Pelodiscus sinensis: one gene and its partner. The protein of the gene in region 1 binds, or shares a complex with, the protein of each later gene. Links are inferred from orthologs where the notes say so. Each region holds a gene or a part of one and is shown on either strand. Other genes may lie near its edges.

The links.
Region 2: the proteins of GLE1 (region 1) and NUP42 are in contact, whole or in part, in a crystal structure (PDB 6B4I), measured with the Homo sapiens proteins. The link is inferred for Pelodiscus sinensis from reciprocal best matches to the Homo sapiens genes GLE1 and NUP42. Residues at the interface, in NP_001003722.1 of Homo sapiens: Ile385, Ile593, Leu598, Asn599, Trp602, Arg603, Ala606, Gln607, Leu609, Asn610, Gln636, Tyr637, Gln638, Val639, Gln640, Lys643, Met644, Ile646, Leu647, Glu650, Asp651, Tyr652; in NP_001357375.1 of Homo sapiens: Asp185, Asn186, Val187, Leu188, Phe189, Gln202, Phe203, Gln204, Ser205, Lys206, Lys207, Phe208, Leu210, Gly211, Lys212, Ile213, Pro214, Leu215, Lys216, Pro217, Pro218, Leu222, Leu223, Asn224, Val225.

What each region holds. Positions count from the first base shown.
Region 1 is NC_134732.1:11,437,820-11,449,660, reverse strand, and holds the start of GLE1 (mRNA export factor GLE1), read right to left. Parts: upstream 5,341-11,841; 5' UTR 5,272-5,340; coding exon 5,173-5,271; intron 1-5,172. UniProt on the Homo sapiens protein: Required for the export of mRNAs containing poly(A) tails from the nucleus into the cytoplasm. May be involved in the terminal step of the mRNA transport through the nuclear pore complex (NPC).
Region 2 is NC_134712.1:199,262,715-199,274,594, reverse strand, and holds the start of NUP42 (nucleoporin NUP42), read left to right. Parts: upstream 1-7,252; 5' UTR 7,253-7,330; coding exon 7,331-7,442; intron 7,443-10,334; coding exon 10,335-10,581; intron 10,582-11,880. Other genes in the region: KLHL7 (kelch-like protein 7), read left to right, coding at 1,266-1,549.

The DNA of each region.
Region 1 (11,841 bases):
TGTCAAGCCGAGACTTAAACACCTCTAGGGATGGAGACTCCACTACTTCCCTAGGTAACCCATTCCAGTGTTTCTCTACCCTCCTAGTGAAGTAGTTTTTCCTAATATCCAACCTGGACCTCTCCCACCACAACTTGAGACCATTGCTCCTTGTTCTGCCATCTGTCACCACTGAGAACAGCCTCTCCATCCTCCTTGGAAGCTCCCTTCAGGAATTTGAAGGCTGCTATCAAATCCCCCCTCACTCTTCTCTTCTGCAGACTAAACAGACCCAACTCCCTCAGCTGCTCCTCATAGGTCATATGCTCCAGCCCCCTAATCATTTTGGTTGCCCTCCGCTGGACCCTCTCCAATGTGTCCACATCCTTTTTGTAGTGTGGGGCCCAGAACTGGACACAGTACTCCAGATGTGGCCTCACCAGAGCCGAATAAAGGGGAATAATCACTTCTCTGGATTGAAAGTCACAACTGAATTGTCAGAAGTCCTCTCTCTCTCAGTCCCATTATGATCACTAAAATGGTCTTCCTTGTCCATCTATCTGACCAAGCCATCAATATATCAAATTTTAAAGTGATAATAAAGCTCAAGTCATAAGAACATAAGAACATAAGAACGGCCGTACTGGGTCAGACCAAAGGTCCATCTAGCCCAGTATCCTGTCTACCGACAGTGGCCAGCACCAGGTACCCCAGAGAGGGTTGACCGAAGTCAATGATCAAGCGATTTGTCTCCTGCCATCCCTCTCCAGCCTCTGACAAACAGAGGCCAAGGACACCATTTTATCCCCTGGCTAATAGCCTTTTATGGACCTAACCTCCATGAATTTATCCAGCTTCTCTTTAAACTCTATTATAGTCCTAGCCTTCACCGCCTCCTCTGGCAAGGAGTTCCACAGGTTGACAACACGCTGTGTGAAGAACTTCCTTTTATTAGTTTTAAACCTGCTACCCATTAATTTCATTTGGTGTCCTCTAGTTCTTCTATTATGGGAACTAATAAATAACTTTTCTTTATCAGCCCTCTCCACACCACTCATGATTTTATAGACCTCTATCATATCCCCCCCTCAGTCTCCTCTTTTCTAAACTGAAAAGTCCCAGTCTCTTTAGCCTCTCCTCATATGGGACCCGTTCCAAACCCCTAATCATTTTAGTTGCCCTTTTCTGAACCCTTTCCAAGGCCAAAATATCTTTTTTGAGGTGAGGAGACCACATCTGTACACAGTATTCAAGATGTGGGCGTACCATAGTTTTATACAGGGGCAGTAAGATGTTCTGGGTCTTATTTTCTATCCCTTTCCTAATAATTCCTAGCATCCTATTTGCCTTGTTGACCGCCGCTGCACACTGTGTGGAAGTTTTCAGAGAACTGTCCACGATAACTCCAAGATCTCTTTCCTGATTTGTCATAGCCAAATTAGCCCCTATCATACTGTACGTATAGTTGGGGTTATTTTTCCCGATGTGCATTACTTTACACTTATCCACATTAAATTTCATTTGCCATTTTGTTGCCCAATCACTCAGTTTGGTGAGATCTTCTTGGAGTCCCTCACAGTCTGCTTCTGTCTTGACTATCCTAAACAGTTTGGTATCATCTGCAAACTTTACTACCTCACTGCTTACCCCTTTCTCCAGATCATTTATGAATAAGTTGAAAAGGATTGGTCCCAGGACTGACCCTTGGGGTACACCACTAGTTACCCCTCTCCAATCTGAAAATTTACTATTTATTCCTACCCTTTGTTTCCTGTCTTTTAGCCAGTTCTCAATCCAAGAAAGGACCATCCCTCTTATCCCATGGCCATGTAATTTACACAAGAGCCTTTGGTGAGGGACCTTGTCAAAGGCTTTCTGAAAATCCAAGTATACTATATCTACTGGATCCCCCTTGTCCGCATGTTTGTTAACCCCTTCAAAGAACTCTAATAGATTAGTAAGACAGGATTTCCCTTTACAGAAACCATGTTGACTTTTGTCCAACAAATTATGTTCTTCTACATGATTCACAATTTTATTCTTTACTATTGTTTCGACTAATTTGCCCGGTACTGAAGTTAGACTTACCAGTCTGTAATTGCCAGGATCGCCTCTAGAGCCCTTTTTAAATATAGGTGTCACGTTGGCTACCTTCCAGTCATTAGGTACGGAAGCCGATTTAAAGGATAGGTTACAAACCACAGATAATAGCTCAGCAATTTCCCATTTAAGTTCTTTTAGAACCCTTGGATGAATGCCATCCTGTCCCGGAGATTTGTTAACATTAAGTTTTTCTATTTGTTCCAAAACCTCCTCTAATGACACTTCAATCCAGGACAGTTCCTCAGATTCATCACCCACAAAGGACGGTGCAGATTCAGGAATCTCCCCAACATCCTCAGCCGTGAAGACTGAAGCAAAGAAATCATTTAGTTTCTCCGCAATGGCTTTATCGTCTTTGATTGCTCCTTTTATAGCTCGATCATCTAGGGGACCCACAGGCTTTTTAGCAGGCTTCCTGCTTCTAATGTACTTAAAAAACATTTTGTTATTTCTTTTTGAGTTTTTGGCTAGCTGTTCCTCAAAATCTTTTTTTGCTTTTCTTATTACATGTTTACACTTGATTTGACAGTGTTTATGTTCCTTTCTATTTATCTCACTAGGATTGGACTTCCACTTCTTAAAAGATACCTTTTTGTCCCTCACTGCTTCTTTTACATGGTGGTTAAGCCACGGTGACTCTTTTTTAGGTCTCTTGCTATGTTTTTTAATTTGGGGTATACATTTAAGTTGGGCCTCTATTATGGTGTCTTTAAAAAGTTTCCATGCAGCTTTCAGGGATTTGGCTCTAGTCACTGCGCCTTTTAATTTCTGTTTAACAACCTCCTCATTTTTGTGTAATTCCCCTTTTTGAAATTAAATGCCAGGGTACTGGACTGCTGAGGTGTTCTTCCCACCACAGGAATGTTGAATGTTATTATATTATGGTCACTATTCCCAAGCGGTCCTGTAACGGTTATATCCTGGACCTGATCCTGCACTCCACTCAGGACTAAATCGAGAATTGCCTCTCCCCTTGTGGGTTCCTGCACTAGCTGCTCCAAGAAGCAGTCATTTAAGCTATTGAGAAATTTTATCTCCGCTTCTCTTCCTGAGGTGACATGTATCCAGTCAATATGGGGGTAATTAAAATCCCCCATTATTATAGAGTTCTCTATTTTGGTAGCCTCTCTAATCTCCCTCAGCATTTCTATGTCAGTATTGCTGTCCTGGTCAGGTGGTCGGTAATATATCCCTACTGCTAATTTCTTGTTATTGGAGCATGGAATTTCTATCCATAGCGATTCTATGGAACATGTTGATTCACTTAATATTTTTATTTCATTTGATTCTACATTATCTTTCACATACAGTGCCACTCCGGCACCCACCCGGCCTGCTCTATCCTTTCTATATATTTTATATCCCGGTATGATTGTGTCCCACAGATTTTCCTCATTCCACCAGGTTTCAGTGATGCCTATTATGTCAATCTCCTCATTTAATACGAGGTACTCTAGTTCACCCATCTTATTAGTCAGATTCCTAGCATTTGTGTACAAGCACTTTAAAAATTTGCCACTGGTTATTTGTCTGCCCTTCCCTGATGCATTGGATTCCTTTCTATGCGATTGTTTGTCAGCTCTGGCCAATGGTTTGCCCTCTCCCCTCCTCTCTTTCCAACTACAGCTTAGAGAATCTCTATCAACGGATTCTCCTCTAAGAGAAGTCTCTCTCCGATTTACGTGCATCTCCTCACCAATCGGCTTTCCCCCATCTCTTAGTTTAAAAACTGCTCTACGGCCTTATTAATGTTTAGTGCCAGCAGTCTGGTTCCACCCTGGTTTAGGTGGAGCCCATCCTTCCTGTATAGGCTCCCCCTCTCCCAAAAGTGTCCCCAGTTCCTAATAAATCTAAACCCCTCTTCCCTACACCATCGTCTCATCCACGCATTGAGACTCTGAAGCTCTGCCTGCCTATCTGGTCCTGCGCGTGGAACTGGAAGCATTTCCGAGAACGCCACCATAGAGGTCCTGGATTTCAGTCTCTTTCCTGGCAGCCTAAATTTGGCCTCCAGGACATCTCTCCTACCCTTCCCTATGTCATTGGTACCTACATGTACCACGACCACCGGCTCCTCCCCAGCACTACACATAAGTCTATCTAGATGCCTCGAGAGATCCGCAACCTTCGCACCAGGCAGGCAAGTGACCACCAGGCAGGCAAGTCCTTATTCAACTCCTCCTCAACCTAAGTTTCTGATCTTATTTTTTCCTTACTTTTCACTCTGCCAATAATACTCATTTTCCAGTTCCTGTCTCAATGCCTTCTTCCATATCATCCTCTGTGCAGAGAAGGCCTTCTCCATCCTAGTTCATCAAGCCATCTGCTTATTAAAATTCAAATTCCTACTGAATATCTACCAGAATTGATAACATAAAATCTCCTTAAGCCTACCTCTGTATTCTCAGGGGTCCTGGACAGTTTGCAGGCTCATTCTGTGTCTGTATGGGCAAGAGTACAGTCTGTGCTTTGTTCTTGTCTACATTACACATGCTCTGCAGAAATATCTATACCAGTACAGCACCCTAATATAGATACAGCTTATATATGCAGGGGCTGTTTCAGTGTGAATTTGCTAATATCTCCCAAAGATTATTGTGGACATGAACACTCTTCCACCCGCACATCTCCATCTGCCTAAGCTAAAAATGCTACAGATGCACCACAGGGATAGCATGAGGGGATCCCCCTGACCCTACATACCAGGGATGGCTGGGAGTGGGTGACCCACTGATGGGGGGGAACTCTCTGGGCCTGTCCCTGGGTGAAGAGCAACTGCCCTACCAGTGTATGAGGGTTTCCCAGACCCTCCCACACTGGGCTGGCCAGGAGCAGGTGCTCCCCTCTTTTGTGTGCCTGAGGGGGTCCCGAGCAGGGAGAGCTGGGACCTCCCACTGTGTGGAGATGGCCGTGGCCGGAAGCGGGCGCAACCCATTTGGGGAGGCGAGAGAGACTGGCCGGAAGCGGGTGCAATCCATGTGTGTGGAGGGGAGGTGTCCCAGAAGCTGTGCAGCCGGGGGTGAGGAGGAGGGTCCCAGAGCGGGATTGGCCGGAGCGGTAGCAGGCAGCGCTCCCCCGCTCCGCACTCACCTCACCGCGCAGCAGCCAATCCCGGGAGTAGCTCAACTGCCCCTTGCTGGAGCCTTTCAGCGCCTCCAGGGTCTCCCAGCGGTACCGCTCCGACGGCATCTCGACCCAGCCCCAGGCTCGCTACCGACCAGTTGCAGCTCCGCCAACCGCCGCGCATGACGGGAACACAATGACCTTTGACCCCTCACGCACGCTCGTTCTGTTTCCGGGCACCTGCAGTTCTTCTGCCCCCCCCTCCCCCTTCCATGAGGAAACCGCAGTGACGCTTCGGAGACGCCGTATCGTCCCCTGCTGGCGCGCAGAAAGCGCTGCAGCCCTCAATGGGCCTTGGGGTCTGCTGGTGCGGCGCCGCCTGTTAACCCCTCAGCCCCCCGCAGGTTCGTGTTTCCAGGGGCTGCCCGACGGGGAACCAACCGCCGCCCTGCGAGTGAAAACGCCAGGCCCCTGAGAGCCGGACATACTCCCCGTTGTGTCCGTGCCTGGGCTGAGCAGCACAAAGCGACCATCCCCTCCCCAGAGCAACTGCAACAGAACAAGATTTGTCTATGCTGATGGAAACGAGCCAGCTCAGCCAAGGGGCGGCCTCTTCAGAGCCAGTGATAGAAATGTAGCCCTGTTAGTCTGGTGTCACTTCAGGGTCTCTACCAAGCATGTATAACCCTCAACTACCCACCCGGAGAAGTAAAAAAGCAAATTGAAAGAGCCAGACGAATACCCAGAAACCATCTTCAAGACAGACCCAAGAAAACCAACAATAGATCACCACTTGGCATCACCTAAGCTTGAATAAAGACTTCTAATTATCTTACCCATTACAAAGATAGATTCCCCAATTATCACCTCTAATATCATTAACTCGCAGACATTTACCTCCCCCCCATCCCCTTTCCATTCTGAAATGTGATTTGTCCTTTTCATATGTGTTCATTTTTTTAATTGTATCCTTTGGTATATTGGTTGTGACCATTTTCTTCCACTATTTGATCTGAGGAAGTGGGTCTGGCCCACGAAAGCTCATCACCTAATAAACCATCTTGTTAGTCTTTAAAGTGCTACATAGTCCTCTTTCTTTTTTTCTTCAGAGACAGAATGATAAATAGCAAGTAAGCTGCAGCACAGGGAGCATGTGAAGGAGCCAGCTAGGGTTGCCAGATGTCCAGTTTTGAACCAGACAGTCCAGTATTTGAGTTTTCTGTTCAGGAAACAAATTGAGAAAATATAAATGTCCGGTATTTTCTAAATAAAATGTAATGTAGATTGTGATGTAATGTCAAGTGTGTCCCGTATTATTGTTGAAACCCTCTGGCAACCCAAGTCAGCCAACATTTTCATTTTCCACCACACAGCAGCAGAGAAAAGCAATACACGCTTATGCTGGCTATGTCTCGATTTTTCTGGGACAGTCCTGAATTTAAATACTCTGGCCCAGTGTCTCCATCAAATAGTGAAATGTCCCAGAATGCCCCACCAGACATTTCACTGCTTGATGGGGACACCAGCTCACAGGAAGAAGCAACCAAGAAATGGCTCTGTGCTATTGCTCCTTGTGCGGTGCAGCAGCCACCACCTCCTTCTCCCCCCAGTAGGGTGCATATAGGCAGCTCCATTGGAGGTTTGCCTGTGGGCAGTCCCTCCCTTCCCCCACAGGACCACCTCTGTGGGGCAGGGTCCTGGTCTGGTAGCCTCCTCCAGGCCGCTTGTTAGTACAGTGGCTGCCACCACTGCCGGGGGGGAGAGGAGGCTGGGCAGGTCCAACGCAAAACCCAGTGGAGTGGCTCCCGGATCTCCTTGCCTTGGAGCCCCTGCAGGAGCCACACAGTGTCTGACTGGGGCACTGCGGGGTGGGGCACGCTCAGGCTTGGCAGGTGCCAGGACTGCAGGGCTATGTCTACACTGGCAGGTTCTTGCACAGAAATATCTCGCGCAAGATCTCTTGTGCAAGAAAACGTCCACACTGGCCAGAACCGCATCGTGAGAACACTGAGCTCTTGCGCAAGAAAGCGTCCACACTGGCGGGAAGCCCTTGCGCAAGAACGTGTCTCCGGAAGCAAATTGGCCATGTCAGGAGGTCACTAGCACCTGACTGCCCATGTGTGGTGTGGAAAAAATTCTATTTCACAATGAGTCTAAACATTACCTGGAGAAAGAACACAAATTGGACATTTAGCTTTTGCTGCTTCCACATACCATTTCACTCTTTAAGGCTTTCCTGAAATGTGAATGTGAAGGTGTTATAGCTGTGGATTTCCTCATCATCATCCAAGAACAGCACCCATTTTAGGTGGCTGATCTTGGGTTTATACTGACTTGCTGTGTAAGGTCTGTTTTCTATCATTTTAGATTGAGCTCCAGGGTGACAAAATGGAAATGACAAGAGAGAAGTATCAGTCTGCCCAGGAGGAGAACAAGCAGCTGATCTTGAAGCTAGAGGAGCTGGAGAGGTTAGAATATATAACTAGTTTGCTCTCCATGTCTGATTTGTTTTCTCTTCTCCTGGTCTTCCTTAGTTAGGTGATCTGCCCCCAGGACATTGCTGGCTTCACCAGTCTCGGCTTCCCGAACTCTGGGGGAGCCGTAGACAGGACCCACATCCCCATCCGGGTGCCAGAGCACCAAGCGGCCCGGTTCATAAACCGGAAGGGCTACTGCTCTGTGGTGCTCCAGGCGCTAGTGGACCACCAGGGCCGGTTCCAGGACATTTATGTGGGGTGGTCGGGGCAGGCCCATAACACTCGCATCTTCAGGCACGCAGGCCTGTGTCACAGGCAGGCACCTACTTCCCCCAGCGGAATTCACCATTGGGGATGTCAGGATGCCAGTCTGCATCTTGGGGGATGTGGCCTACCCCCTGATGGCCTGGCTGATGCAGCCATACACTGGCCACCTGGACCACAGCCAGGCCACCTTCAACAGCCAGCTGGACTGGGCCCACAATCCTGTCGAGTGCGCCTTTGGCTGTCTGAAGGCACAGTTTAGGCGCCTCCTGACCCACCTGGACATAGGGGTGCAGCACATCCCGGAGGTCATCTCGGTATGTTTCGTGCACCACAATATTATTGGGAGGTGAGGGGGGGAGGCCTTCCTCCCAGGGTGGATGGAAAAGGGCCAAGCCTACCAGCAGCCCCACATGGCTGCCACCCGGCAGACCAATCACCAAGGGGTTCGGGTCTGGGAAGCCCTCTGGATGATGCTGGACCAGGCCCCACAATAGGCCACTCCTACACCTCTGACGCAGGGATGCCCCTGTGACCCCACTTCCTGCTCCCATCACCACCCCTTCCTGCCCCCCTTCCCTCACCTCCCAATAAATAAAATGCATTTGCTGTACATAAGGCACTTTTTTATTTACATTCGGAAGGGAGTGCACTGTGGGGAGGGGGGGACCCTGAGCTGGGAAGAGAGGGGAGGAGGGGACCCTGAACTGGGAGAGCCTCATGATGGATAATGGAGGCCTCTCCCACCTCCACGGGGGCGGGGGCGCCTCTATCCCTTGTGCTGGGTTGGGGCAGGCTGCACGAGGAGGTGCTAAGGGTGGGGGACCTGGGGAGGGGACATGGGCAAGGCAGGGGGAGAAGCGGGCGGAGAGCTAGGGGTGGCAGAGGGGGGGCCTGGCAGCCTTAGGCTGCTCCACAGGGCCCATCCGGTCAGCCATGGTGTCCAGGAGAGTGCAGACACAGTCGCAGCGTTCCAGGTACTGGCCCCACACCCGCTCCCGCCACTCCGCATCTGCGCAGATCTTCTGGGTAAGAGCGTGCTCCATGTGCTCAATTGCGCAGATGTGGCGGCGGAGCAGGTGGTGGCGGTCCCAGGAACACTGTGACGGGCCCTGGATCCTTTGGGCTGGCAGGATGGGGCTGGAAGGTCCCTTGCTGGCAGGGGGTCCCACTGCAGGAGAAGCAGAGGAGAGCAACATGGTCAGTGAGCCCTGCCCCAAATGGTGTTCCAGAGCCCCGTGCCCTCCTCCTAGCACATCACGATGCCCGGGGACAGGTGTGGCTGGTGAGGGGGAATTCCCCTGAGGCAGCGGGGGGTGGGTCCCAAGGTGGCCCAGGAGCCCCCAGGGGGGCCGTTTGTGCTTGGGGGGGGCCTCATGTGCCTTCCCCAGGGGAAGCTACAGTGTCCCAGAGGTGGCCATGGATGTGTGCTGTGTGCAGCATCCTTTAGGCTGTATGAGGTTAGGCCTGCAACCTTGGGGCTGGCCTACTCCTGACCAAACCTTCCCCTCTCCCCGGTCTGGTCGAGCGGAATCCTTGGAGTCCCATGCATGTGCTGGGGCTGGCTGCCGCTTCTCTGTGCCACTTGGTCTGGCTGCACGTAGGGTTGCCGGATGGTTTCAAGAAAACTACTGAACACACTTGACATTACATGACATTCTACATTACATCTTAGTTAAAAAATACCAGACCTGTTTATTTTCTCATTTATATCCTCTCAATTTGTTTTCTGAACAGAAAGCTCAGACTGGACTATCCAGTTCTAAACTGGACACCTGGCAACCCTAGCTGCATGAGGTTGCACATGCTGCATGCCTCTGCACAGCATGTGGCCAGGCTGTGCCATGTGCCACTACCTCTCTCCCACCCTGTGGCCCTCCCCCCACTTGTCCAGCACACTTGCGAATGGTAGCCACTGCACTCACCAAACAAACCCTCACAGGCTTCGGAAGATGCCCGGGACACATCCTGACTGCTGCTGGGCCAGGATGGTGAGGTCTGGCTGCTGTCCTCTGCCACCTCCTCCTTCTCCAGTGGCCTAGGTCAGACCACTGGGGTGGCCACTGCTGTGTCCACCTGGGACAGCAGGGGAGGGCCCCTTTGTCCCACAAGATCTGGTGCAGACAGTGATACTGGGGACAGTCAGTGGCTCCGCCGCCCCCACGCTTGCTGCCTGCACATAGGTGAGGCGCAGGTCCTTCACCTTGGCCCGGACCTATTCCAGGGTTTGGGCCGGGTGTCCCTTTGTGGCCAGCGCCTGGGCCATCTGGGCAAAAATGTGCGCATTTCTCCTCTGGGACTTGGGGTCCCGGAGGGCCTCCTCCTTTCCTCAGAGGTCCAGGAGGGCAGTCACCTCGGCGGTGCTCCACCATGGAGCCTGCCACTTGGTGCCCCTTCGGACTTGCTGGGTGCTCTGGGGTGGCTCCTCCGTGGGGTCTGAGGGACCTGGCTGAGGCTGGGCAGCTGCCATTCCTCCCTCTGGGCTGCTACCCTGGCTGCACGTGGCAAATGGCTATGCTCCGTGCCTGTGCCTTTAAGGGGAGGGCCAATTAGGGGGAACCAACAAGTGGTGATTGCCTGTACAGAGTGTTGGGGGGCACCTGCGTTTTTCACTGGAGGCCAATTCTCGCGCAAGTACGTGCTTGCCGAACGTCCACACTGCCCTCTTGGGCAAGAGCACCTGCACAAGAGAGCTTAAGCCGGATAGAAAACAGCGTGGCTCTTGCGCAAGGAACTGTCTCTTATCACACCATACTGTACATTTACTTGCGCAAGAGCAGATGGGCAGTGTAGACACTCTGTGGATTCTTGTGCAAGAATGGCTGTTCTTGCGCAAGAAGCCATGAGTGTAGACATAGCCCAGCAGAGGCCACCCGCAGTGCTATTTTTAGTACCACAGTCCAGGCCCTTGTGGGAAGCCCTGGGTCCAGCTGAAGTCAAATGGAAGTCGCATGAGGCACGTTCCAACCAGGGCAGCCTCACCAGAAGGGTCCTCATGTGGCTGCTGCTTTACTCCAGCTGGAGCCAAGGCACCTATAGGGATCGGGACAGCAGTACTAAAAATAGCACCACAGCCCTGGCTCTAGCCCCCATAAACTGCTTTCCACATCAAAGGCAGAAAGTGAAAAAACAGGCAGGGGAAGAACTAAGGAGAGGTGGGGGTAAGGAGAGAAAGGGGTTTGTGCTGAGGGGAAAGGAGCAGCAGGAGAAGAAAGGGGAAGGCACCAAGATGTAGGGTGGAGGAGAGAGAAATGCTAGGGGCAAAGAGGAGACAATGAGGAAAAGGGCAGAAGGGGGGGTAAGGGAGGGAAGGTGTCCATGGGGGGGAGAGGGGTTAGAGAAGGGAGGGGACAGTGTGATGAGGGGAGAGGAGAGTGGAGGGACAATGGGAGGAAGAGGAGAGGGGGTGCCAGGAGAAGAGGGATTGAGAAAAGGGGTGGGTATATGGAAGGCAGGGGATGGAGCAAGTCAAGTGTGAGGGGCATGAGGAGAACTGGGGCAGAAGGTGGTGAGGGGGTGGGCATCAGGGAGAAAAAGGGCAAGGAGCCAGGAGGATAAAGGGTAGGAGGGGCAGCAGCAGGCACCAGAGGAGCAGATGGGACAAGGGGGGTGGGAGATATGTCAACAGAGGGAAAAGGGAGAGGTTTATAAGATATTAATAACTTGGGTGCTACAGTGACATACATCCGAACAAGCACACACGAATTCAATACTGGTGCACAAGACAAAATTCTCTCTGCTCATGGGAGAAAAATCTTAAAGGGAACACTTCCCTCAGACTCCCCCCTCCTCTCCCCCCGGAGTTAATGCAATGCAAATTGGGTTAATGCTATTGCAGGATTGTTGCATGGGTTGGGGGGGGGGGTGTCCCAGTAGGGCAAAACTCATCGCTATTGGATAGAAATATGGTGGGAGGAGTTCTTAGAGGGGTCACATGACACCTTTTCTTCTGGTC
Region 2 (11,880 bases), on another chromosome or scaffold:
TGAAACTTCTTGTAAAACAGGGTTAACTTGATTAACTTGTCATCTGACAAGAGGGTAACATGGTACAGTTGCTGCCCTGAGGAATTTACAATTTAAAGAATTATCACAAATCTACAATTAAAAAGGGTGAAACTACCTGTTTTGACTGCCCTAGATACTTAACATAGGATTTGTTGGGTAGTCTTGTGCAAGTCTTATCCTCTCGTGCAAGTCTTATCCTCTCTCTCCCTTCCTGTAAACCAGAAATAATAATACCTTCCTCACAGAAGTGTTGAAAGTTAATTAGGTAATGTTTCTAAAGTGCTTTGAAGATGAGAATTACTGAGATGCTAACTGTATTACTTATTCATGCTAACAATGGGAATATTTTGTTTCACATTAATGCTAATTAAATGGCAAATTATAAACTAACGGTATTCTAACATAATGGTAGTTTTCAGTGCAAAGAATGATATGTAGATGCATCTCACATGCACGTAATGAGACACTCAGAAACTCCACCCTTTGAGCCTGCTAGTTGAACACTGAATTGGAAAATATCTATGACTTCCAAGTGGGGCAAAATAGTATTTTGAAATTAACTTTTTGTTAGTGAAAATTGGCGTGATTAACTAAATACTTTCACCACAGTGACGGCACTGAAATAAATTTATAAATAACAGCCATCATCATAGATTACGCATCTTTTCAGGGTAACAGTTCTCAAAATCGCGTGTGTCTGAGCAGTCAGAATTTAAGACTGGGAATTACTACTCCTCTCTGCCCTAGGTGTGATAGTGTTGTGAGGCACTGATTATAAAAGTGCTTTTGGATTGGATGGTACATTAAAATTGTTTGTGGTCTTGTAATTGTTTTTCAGCACTTTCCTTGCTGCCGCCTCTCTTTTGAGGGGGGAAAAAGCAGCTAATCCCAATTACAGACCATGTTGCCTTCTTAAGAAGGGAGGAGGGATTGATTTTTAATAAAAAAACACAGTTGGGATGTCCAGTTTCAGCCCGGAGTGAAAGCTTAATGAAGAATTATTAAACAGGAACTTGTAATTGGAAATAACACACAGCTGGAACTCCAGCAATACAAATATTACCGCCTGTATGGTTATGCATTCTCTACACAAATACATGTTCTATAAATATTCACATTGTGAAAAGATATATGATGGATTAAAATATCCTCTACTACTGTGAGTCAAAGGCCTTTTCGGTGAGATTTTTTTGGTAAGCAGTAGCAGTGTTCATATTGCTAATAATTGTTTGATTTATTTCAAGGTGGCCTAGACAACGTGGAATATTATGATATTAAGATGAATGAATGGAAGATGGTATCACCAATGCCATGGAAGGGTGTGACAGTGAAGTGTGCTGCTGTGGGCTCTATAGTCTATGTCCTGGCTGGCTTTCAGGGTGTGGGCCGATTAGGGCACATCCTTGAGTATAATACTGAAACAGACAAGTGGATAGCAAACTCCAAAGTCCGTGCTTTCCCAGTGACGAGTTGTTTAATCTGTGTTGTTGATACTTGTGGAGCAAATGAAGAAACGCTAGAGACATGAAGGCCTCAAGGAGAAGTCAGGACATTCTTCAGAGACTTGGAAAAGATGGCCATCGGTGCTTTGCTTTTGGATTTTATTGATTCTTGTTAAACTGAATAATCTTGAAAAACTGAGATGTAGCCCTCACATTTGTATATACAGTATGTGCCCATTTAATTTTTACCCTTTGTTCTAAAAGATGGGATGTATTTCAAGATTCCAGTATCCTAGCTCAGAACACGACATGTTTTCTTGAACAAATTTTTTGTGTGGCTTTGCCAAAAACTAACCAGCCTCTCTCCTCACCCTTCAGCTTAGTTATCTGGAAAATGTTAGTGCATTTGATATAGTTTAGCCTAAATCTCAGAAAAAACTTAAAAACAACAAATAGTCTAGTAAGCACCTTAAAGACTAACAAAACAAGTAGATGATATCATGAGCTTTCATGGGCACAACCCATGTCTTAGATGACAGGAGTATTAGAAGTCCAGATCCAAGAATAAATAAGGGGAGGAGCGAGGAGGAAAAAAATAGCACAAAGGGGGAGGGAAAAAAAGACAGTGAGTAGATAGTTCAAATAGTTACAAGAGGCTGATAAGAACAATTAGCACCTCCATTGGTTGATTGGTTAAGTCATTAGGCTGTGGAAGGTACCGTGCAAGCCATTACTTTATTCAAGATACTGAAGTGCAAACCAGACTACAAAGAATTACAAAGGGATCTTATAAAACAGGGTAACTGGATAACATCATGGCAGATAACATTCAATATTGATAAATGCTAAGTAAGGCATATTAGAAAAATATCCTAATTATACATACATACAAATGATGGGGTCTAAATTTGCTGTTAACCACTCAAGTGAGACAGTTTGAAATCATTATGGTTAAGTCCCTGAAAACATTTGCTTAATGTGCAGGAATCGCTAAGAAAGGAATAGATAATAAAACAGAAAATATCACATTGTCTCTATATCAATCCATGGCATGCCCGTATCTTGGCATGAAGTTGCCCCATCTCAAAAAGATATGTTGGCATTGGAAAAGTTTCAGAAAAGGGCAACAAAAATGATTAGAAGTATAAAACAGTTGCTGTAGGAGAAAAGTTAATAAGGCTGGGACTTTTCATCTTGGAAAAGAGATGACTTAAGGGGATTATAATAGAGAGTTGTAAAATCATGTCTGGTGTGAAGAAAACATAGAAGTGTCATTTACTGTTTGTCATTACACAAGAACTAGGGATCATCAAATGAAATTTAGGGGCAGGGGTTTAAAACAAACAAAATGAAGTATTTCTTCTAGGGATGTTAAATTGCATTTACTACCTGATTAGTTTATAAGAGGGGAAACTGCGGAGTCTCAGCAGGGATAACTCTGGGCCCCAGGAGCTAACCCTGCTGTGGCTCTGCCTTTTAAATGTATTAAGAGCTGCCAGGTCTTAATACATTTAAAAGGCAGAGCCACAGCATCTGGGGTTGAGCGTGAGTTGGGACAGCTGATTCCCAGTTAATGCCTGGTCGTCCATCCCCCCGGCCCCATGCCTTTTCCTCTCTTGCCCCCTCCCCCCCCCCCCCAAGACCGGGGGCGGGGCAGGAGAACTGGCTTTTAAGCCCACTCTTCACAGCACTGGCTCCCGCTCCCCCCTAACTCCTTTACTGCCTCTCTCTTATAGAGGCACGGGGAGGGGAAACGCGACTAGTTAAGTCACTACTTGACTACCTGATAAGCATATGTTTATTGGGTAGTCTACTAGTTGCTTACATCCCCAATTTCTTCATACACTGCAGTCAACTTGTGGAACTGTTTGTCAGAGATTGTTGTGAAGGCCAAGACTATAACAGGGTTAAAAAAAGAACTAGAAAAATTCATGGAGGAGAGGTCCATCAATGGCTATTAGCTGAGACGGGCAGGAATGGTGTCCCACAAGCTGTGAATGGGCAGTAGGGGATGTATCACTCTGATTATCTGTTCTTCAGAGGGAATGAACAGCACCTGATGTTGGCCACTGTCAGAAGACAGTATACTGAGCTAGACAGACCTTCGGTCTGACCTAGTGTGGCTGTTCTTAATATACATTCTACAGCTCAGACGTAGAAATTCTCTAGATACCCACGGTGAATTAATACAAGTTGTCATAGGCGAAAATGAATTTCCTCATACTGTTCTTTCTCTTTTATGCACATTGCACAACCACCATTCTTGTTTATATAGCCATTTAGTACCAACCTTGCAACACAAGGGGTATACTGGATTAGGAATGATATGTGAACTCATAACTTGCACAGCTCCTGCCTGTAGTATGGCAGTTTTATACCACTGTTGTTCATACATCATTTTGATAACTATTTCAGTGCATACTCATTTTAAAAATTAAACAGGCCACATGTATATTACAGAAACTTTGTTCCTTATTTGATTTGGCACTTTGAGGAACTTACACAAAAAGACCTCTAAATTATCACAAAACTCAGAATCTTGAGGTTTGATTGCATATTTTATTCAACACAAAAGTGCTCTGTACTATCAGGTTGGGCACTTGGGATCAAGTCACAATTTGTTTTCCTAGACCAATGTGCTAAAAATATGGAAGCCAATCCATTTGTGAAGATGTGGAGGGTGGGGAGAAGTAATAAGTTAGTTATAACCATGCAAACATAAATTCCTTTCAATTTTAAAGAGACTTATACATTTGGAAAATAATTTGAAAAATCTGTGGGCAATTAAGTGTGCAGTGCTAAAAATGTACCTGAATCATCAAAAACTTCACTGTAGACATGGATACAATATAATCTTCCAAGTTCCATGGTGCTCCAGTTCACAGTATAGATAAACCAGGCTTGTCAACTAACCTCTTGTACACTTACCAGTTAGTTCATGAAAATTTTCACTCTACAGGCGGCCCCCGACTTGTGATGTGATTGGTTCCTGGGGAAGCGTCGCAAGTTGCGGGTGTTGTAACTCGACCCCTCATTTACCATGTGCGTCGTCGTAAATGTGGGCCGAAGACTTAAGTTGGGGGGGTTTCGGCCCCTTCCGCACTTACAAAAATGGCTGTAAGTGCAGGGGGTCAGAACTCGGGTGGTCTCATGTTGGGGGTTTCCTGTAATTCTATCTGTCCAATAACCTGCTATCCTTTTTCAGACCATTCCCTTCTAGACTACCAAGACAGCATTGACATCTTAAAAAAATAATTACATTGGTACATATTTTTTAACGGATACCCTTCCAAAAGGAGAATGGATGTTTAAGATGCTCTGCTCCAAGTTCTTGGTAAATTTGGTAAATTTCCAGCTTCCAGATCTCACTATCTTTCTCAGATCTCATGGACTGGATTAAATTCTACTTTCTGGGTTGAACAGGCTGATTATTATAGCTGCTAGCATGTTTTTAAGATTCTGAAGCACATTTATTTTCCATTGAGTTAATAATTTTCTTAAACTACAGATAAATTTATAAATACAAAGAAGGGATTTGAAAAAAAATTGTCATAGCACAGTTAAAAAGCAACTTCAGTGGAACATTTTGTTGAAACTGCTGTAAGTAAAGAAGATCTTGCTTATGTACATCTGTTCAAGCTTATGATTATTTGGGATTTCTCATGCTATATATTCTAGCTTGCAGGCTAGAGCATGCTGAACTTGGTTCATTGAATTAGTGGTAGCAAGTATTAGATTATGAAGAGTGCAACAAAACTTTTCTTAGATAATTCTGTGTATCAAGCATGTGTATTGATAAAACTTAAAAGGCTTCTGTGTTTGGTATCAGAAGCATCCTTTGGAACTTTCTGATGGAAATGAAACAAATACCTCAGTGAAGCTTGTGGGTCAGTAAATGATGTTCAGTAAATATGTTTTCTTCAGTCTTATCTCACCACACAAACTTTAAAAAACACAACTGTTTGTGACAAACAGTTTAGTGACAAATCCCTATGCCCTACTTCATGATACAGCTGTGAAGCTGGCATCATCCTAAAATCAAGACAATTTGATAGTTTATCTGGCAATTGAAATAATTCTGGTATTTTATGTAATTTGTAGGATTTTTAAAATGTTTAAAATAGAGCTGGCCTATCAGCTAGATAGTGTTCCCTATGTGAATGCTATCCTTAACTATAGTGATAGAAATGTAGCTGTGTTAGTCTGCTGTAGCTGAAACAAAATACAGGACTATGTAGCACTTTAAAGACTAACAAGATGGTTTATTAGATGATGAGCTTTCGTGGGCCAGACCCACTTCCTCAGATCAAATAGTGGAAGAAAATAGTCACAACCATATATACCAAAGGACCTAATTACATGCATCCTACTCCAGAAGACTTTCAAATCTGCACTTGAAAGGGAATCCTCTGAACTGTCATTCATGCTAAAATTCGACACTCTCCGTGGGGGGTTGAACAAAGACACCAACTACCTTACCCATTACAAAGATAGCTTCCCCAATTATCACCTCTAATACCATTAGCTCATAGACATCTACCTTTCCCCACCTCTAATATCATTAACTCACAGACATTTACCTTCCTTCTCTTCCCCCCCCCCCATCCTCCTTCTGTTCTGAAATGTGATTTGTCCTTTTCATATGTGTTCATTTTTTTTAATTGTATCCTTTGGTATATATGGTTGTGACTATTTTCTTCCACTATTTGATCTGAGGAAGTGGGTCTGGCCCACGAAAGCTCATCATCTAATAAACCATCTTGTTAGTCTTTAAAGTGCTACATAGTCCTGTATTTTGATCCTTAACTATCACATTTTATCTGCTATACTTTTCCCAATATGCATTATATATAAAAATGCATAATATGAAGGTGCAATGTTTGGCACAGTAGGAGCCTGTTTTCCCTTACACCTATGGGAAGAGGGTCAAGGTGGATCCCTATCTCCCTCTTGTGTTGGCAGTGTGCATTCACTTTCTCTTTTGCATAGGGAGAGGGTAACGATCTGTTTTCCAGGGGAGATGGTATTATGAGCTTTCCTGGGCAGTGAAAGCTCATGATACCATCTACATGTCTCCTTAGTCTATAAAGTGCTACCAGACCAGTTTTTGTTTCTCCTGTACAGACTAACTCAGCTACCACCTGAAGCTTCCAGGGGAGAGGGGGATGAGCAGGTCCCAGACCAGGGGCTTTATAGTCTACAGGTAACTGGTGACGTGTCCCCGCTGAGAAGAGACCAGCCGCTGTTTCACCATTACTAGGGGGTCGCTCCAGCAGGGAGAGGGTGTCAGCGGGGGTCACGCCTGGGGGAGGGGCGCAGAGCTGTAGCCAGGGATGGAGGCCTCCCCGCAGGGCAGGCGTGGGGGTGAGTCACGGGATCTCTCCCCCGCGTGCCGCTGCCCAGTGGATCGTTGCAGCGCTGGGCGCGCGAGTCAAAGGCTTGTCCCTCGCGGCGGCCCGTCCAAGCCTGTGGTGGAGGCGGGCCGCGAGCGTCAGTCCGGACTTGGGGGCGGTGAGGAGAGGAACAGCGATGGCAATCATAGCACGTGCAGGTAAGGCTAAGGACGCGCTCTCATAGGCTGTTCCGCTACCCAGGGCTTAAGGGGCGGAGCAACAGCTGGGCTTCTCATTGGGCCGCTCAACTGGCACTTTCGCGCACAACCGGTAAAAGTCAGGAACCGCCTTCTCACGTTCTCCCGCGCCTGGGCAAAGGCTCGCATACGTCACTCAGAAGCGCCGTAATGTCACGCGGTGAGGCGGTCGCGGGCCTTGCACGTCGTAGCAGTGGGTGGTTCTGTCGGCCGGTGTCGTTAGCCGCGGCAGCTATGACGCAACGGAGGCCGGAACTCGGGGGCCCCGGCCGCTGCCATGACCATCTGCCACTTCTTCCTGCAGGGCCGCTGCCGCTTCGGCGAGAGGTGCTGGAACGAGCATCCCCGCGGCGGGGGGCGCCCGGCCCCGGCCCCGCCGCCTTCTCAGGGTACCCGCTTCTCTCAACTCCTCCGCCTGCGGCTGGTCGCCTCCGCCCCTCGCAGCCCTCCCGGGGGCTCTCGCCGGGGCAGCCGAGGTCCCGATCCCCGCTTTCGGGGCTCGCGTGCAGCCGGCCGGGTCAGGGCCCAGCTGCGGCGCTAATGGCTGAAGCGTCTGGGACGCTGCTTGCCCCCCCCCCCCCCCGTGAGGTGTGAGCCGGTCACCTCCCTGACCAGTCCAGCCTAGCGCCGACGGGCCTGGTCTGAGCCTGGGTCCCTGCGCGCTTCCAATAGACGTGATTACCCTGGTCGGTCCCAGTCCCGTATCCCGCCCGCCGCAGGGTGCAGCTTCGGGGAAAGGTGCCAGGAATTTAGCAGGCCTGGGATAATCTGCGCCCGGAAAAGGTTCTTCCTGACAACCCCCTGTCCCCTGTTGAGAGCTCGGGTTCTGCCATAAGACCTGTAGCTCTGTGTCCCTGCCAGAACTCTTGTTGGTTCTCCTTAGGGTTCGCTGTTAGACGTCTGGATATTCTTGTCTTCTGCGCAGCAACCTATTTAAAGTCAGACCTTTTTTAATCTCCCTTCTGTCACACTAATACTGTAACCTTGGTGCAGCTCTTAATCTCTTGATGTTTGAGTGCTTTCTGTGGTGGGGTTAGGGTAATGTATAAATTTTGACAGGTGGCCTCTTGAAATCTTCCCCCCTCCTTAATGAACGGGGCTGGTAAAATGTGACTGCAATTCGTTGGCTAGTAAAGTTTAAAAGAAATATACAGAATTGTGTTTTACCACATATAAATACAGAACTTAGCTGCACCAAATGCTGTAGGTTTTCTCAGGAATTTAAAGTTGAGGGTTAGATAACTTTCAGTTAAAATACTAAACGTATTTAGTAGCAAGCAAACAGTTGAACATTTTACCTCTTTATAAGTGGTGAGTCATCCTTGCAATTGTCACTAAATCACATAGCTCAAGTGGGTATTTATTGTAAATGACTAATAGTTTTGGAGTAATAGTATTTATAAAATAGAGAAGTTAGAGGTTTTTTCCCTCATTTGAAATTATAGCCTATCTGGATGCTCAGGAAACAATAAACCAGAATGTGTGTTGTTTTCAACCTGTTTTTCCTCTTCCTCCCCCAATCCTCCATTCTTGATTACTGGAATTCTAATAGGACTCTGACATTAGTATTAAGGAAGATGAATTACAAGTATGCTGAAGAGAAACCTTGCCCAATTCCCCATCTGCATATGATTTTCCATTTCTCTTCCATAGACAAAAGAGACATCACAGTGCCACAATTTGTTGTTACAAAACGGACCGTTTGAAAGGAAACTGAAGTGCCCGGGCCTATTAAATACATTGATAAATTGCTTATGATTTAACAAATACACTTAAGCAACAAATAGTCTTGCAGCATCTTGGAGACTAACGAAAAATGTAGATGCCTATGATATCAACTACATTTTTTGTTAGTTTTTAATGTGCTGCAAGACTATTTGTTTTTTAAGTTTATTCAGTTACAGACCAATACAGCTACCCCTCAGAAACACTTGCTTATGATTTGTAAGGAGTACTGCCATCCTTGAATCTGTTCCATTTCATAATTGTTATAAGTAGTTTTTTATGCTTATACCTACCTTCATAATCTCCTAGCAAATGTTTGTAGCTTAGTCACATGTTCCCTTGTTTTTGTAATGTTTCTGGGTCTATGAAATCTCTCACAAGAAGTGTGAAAATGAGGGGCTTTTTCTTCCAAGTTGACCATGTGGATTGGATCTGGCAGGGTCTGGGCTGCACAGGTCATCTTTCAGGATTGGTGTTTAAGTGCTATCAAATGGGCAAAATAAACAAGAATAGTGAAAATACTTCTAATCTTTCAGATATTAGAGCTGATCTCAGCCCTTAAAATCTTTATTACTTGCAGTAACAATGGATTAATATCATATAGTGTGTTGGCCTCTTGAAAGGTTTTAAGATATGAATGAGATATCTTAAGACCCCATTCTGGAAATAAATAGTCCCATTTAACTTAATTATGCTCACATGATGACAGTTGCTTAATGTAGGGGTTCTCAAATTTTGTGATACCATGACCCCCTAAAATGCTAAATGAATTTGTGTGGAACCCCCTCCCCCCCAGGTCTCTTCCTCCCCCCTTCTCACCAGACTCCTTGCCCTCCTGGGGTTCCTTTAAGGCATTTGCAGTCCTCAACGCCCTTCCCCCCTGCAGGCCCCTTCCCCCATCTCTTTCTCCTCTGTGCTTCTTTTCCGCTCCGCATCCCTTTGGTTCCTTTCCTCTCCTCTGACCCCCATGTGCCCTTATTTACCTTCAGGTCCTCTGCCCTGACCCAATCCCCCAGCCTGTTGCCTGAGGGACCTCGCCCTCTCCCAGCTGGGGAAGAGTTCAGTCACCTAGCAACTATGCCCTGGCCTGCCCCGCCCCTTGCGCATCTGCTACTGCGTTGGCCTCGCTCTCCCACCGCCTTGCCTCCTACTGCAGCTGAGCCGTGCTCCAGGAGTCCTGCGGCCCTGGCTACACTGTGCGGCTTGCCAGTGGCTGCCTTACACTGCCCTGCCTCTCTTCGTGGCCCGGGGGAGAGGGGTCACAAGTGAAAAAACGAATCCAGCTGCGACCCCCCTGGGGGTCACAACCCACAGTTTGAGAAATGATGGCTTAATGTGTAATTGCAGGCATGGACTCTATTTGTACATACATCTTTTTAAATAAAATAAACTCTGATCACATAATGCACAACTAAAAATATTAACTGTTCTAGTAATTGGTTCTCTTCATGCTCTGTAATTTTCAGTACTAGCATACATAAGTGAACTTGGTTCACTTGATTTGTGGTAATGAGGAAAATGTGAAAGAATATTTGTTTTCTCTTTTTCAATGCAAGGTACTGGCAGAGGAGGATGGGGTGGCCATAACCAGAGATACACCAGTGTTGTCCAACCTTCTAACTTCTCTAAACCCTCTACGTGGGGTGGCAGCAGAAATGATGGAAAGGCTTTTTTTGGATCCTCTGACTATGGAGCACCAGGCAGTGGCAATAAAAGTTCAGGATTTTCTCAAAACAGATTCTCTGCATTAAATTCTGAGCAAAATATTGTCAGTGACTACAGAGATGAAGAAGAGAAGCTTCTGTAAGTCCTTGTTCTGTGATTATCTAGAAAGAATTTAGGTAAATTTTACAAGTGTAAATTTGTATGGAGACACTTGAGTATATTATGTAACTTCCTTATAATGCCAGTTTGAAGAGATTTCTAATGTCTAAATATTTACATTATAATTTGTTAATATGAACATCTTCATTGGGAGGTAATGAAGTGTATGTGTAGTAAAATTAATTGTCATAGGAATTTAAAATGCACACAGACAACCTTTATTAATTGAAATTGTTGTTTTTAATAATTTTGCATTCATCTTTAAAGTGATCTGCAAAAGGGGAAAAACTGGGCTTTTTTTCCTTTCTCTTTCTACTCTACAAAGCAAGCCTGGGAGGTTTGGGGAAACTTTTCATTTAAAAAAAAAAAAAAAAAACCCCTGCTGTTTAACCAAAAAGTGTCAGGTCTTGGCTATTGGATGACTGGAGTACTGTTGTGATATAAAAATCCTAAGTATTAAGGAATTGAGGTACTGGTTGAGGCCAAAAGTGGCTTTCATTCACCCTCTAGTTAAATAGGTGTTGTGAAAGAGTTTTAATGTTCCTAGATCTAAGGGAAAACTTCCTCTAAGACTTAGGTGCAAGTCTTGCAGAGTAAGAAGTTGCAATCTATGTCTACATTCCATTGCAGGTTTATTTGTTAGAGCAGGATGAGGAAATTTTTACACCCCTTAAAATCCTTAGATTTTGGTATTTACTTGCATTCGTATGAGATTTAAAAATGTATCTTTAATAAAAGCAAATTTCTAACTTGCTGCAGTACAGTATTCTTGCTTTTGCTCTCTCCAGAGTTTCTTTAAATATTACACTTATTTTACTTCAGTTAATAGTCCCTTATCCCTATTTCATTACTTCTACCAGGGCTCGACAAATTAATGCAATCTACTAGCCTGTGGTGAGTAGATTGCAACCCGGAAGAGCCGCGTTTGGGCGATCTGCTCATGCGCAGATCGCTGGACAGCGCAGCTGGCGAGTGGGGCTCGCTGCAGTTCAGCGAGCCCTGACTTCTACAATATATGGATTTCTGTAGTCTCTAAAATTGAGATGTCTGTTTTTCATCTGGTCTGAAATCTTTCTGCTTTTTACTTTTTGCTGTTATACATATTATTAGCTTATTTTTGTAGAATTTTGTAACTTTCAAGGTTTCGCAAATGTTAATGCTGAGATTATGATTGCAGCCTACAGAGAAAATCATTTAACAGCATATTTGCCCTTCCTGCCTGTCTTTATCCAGCTTACTTAATTCATGATGCAATTTATATACTTTAACAAAATGTTT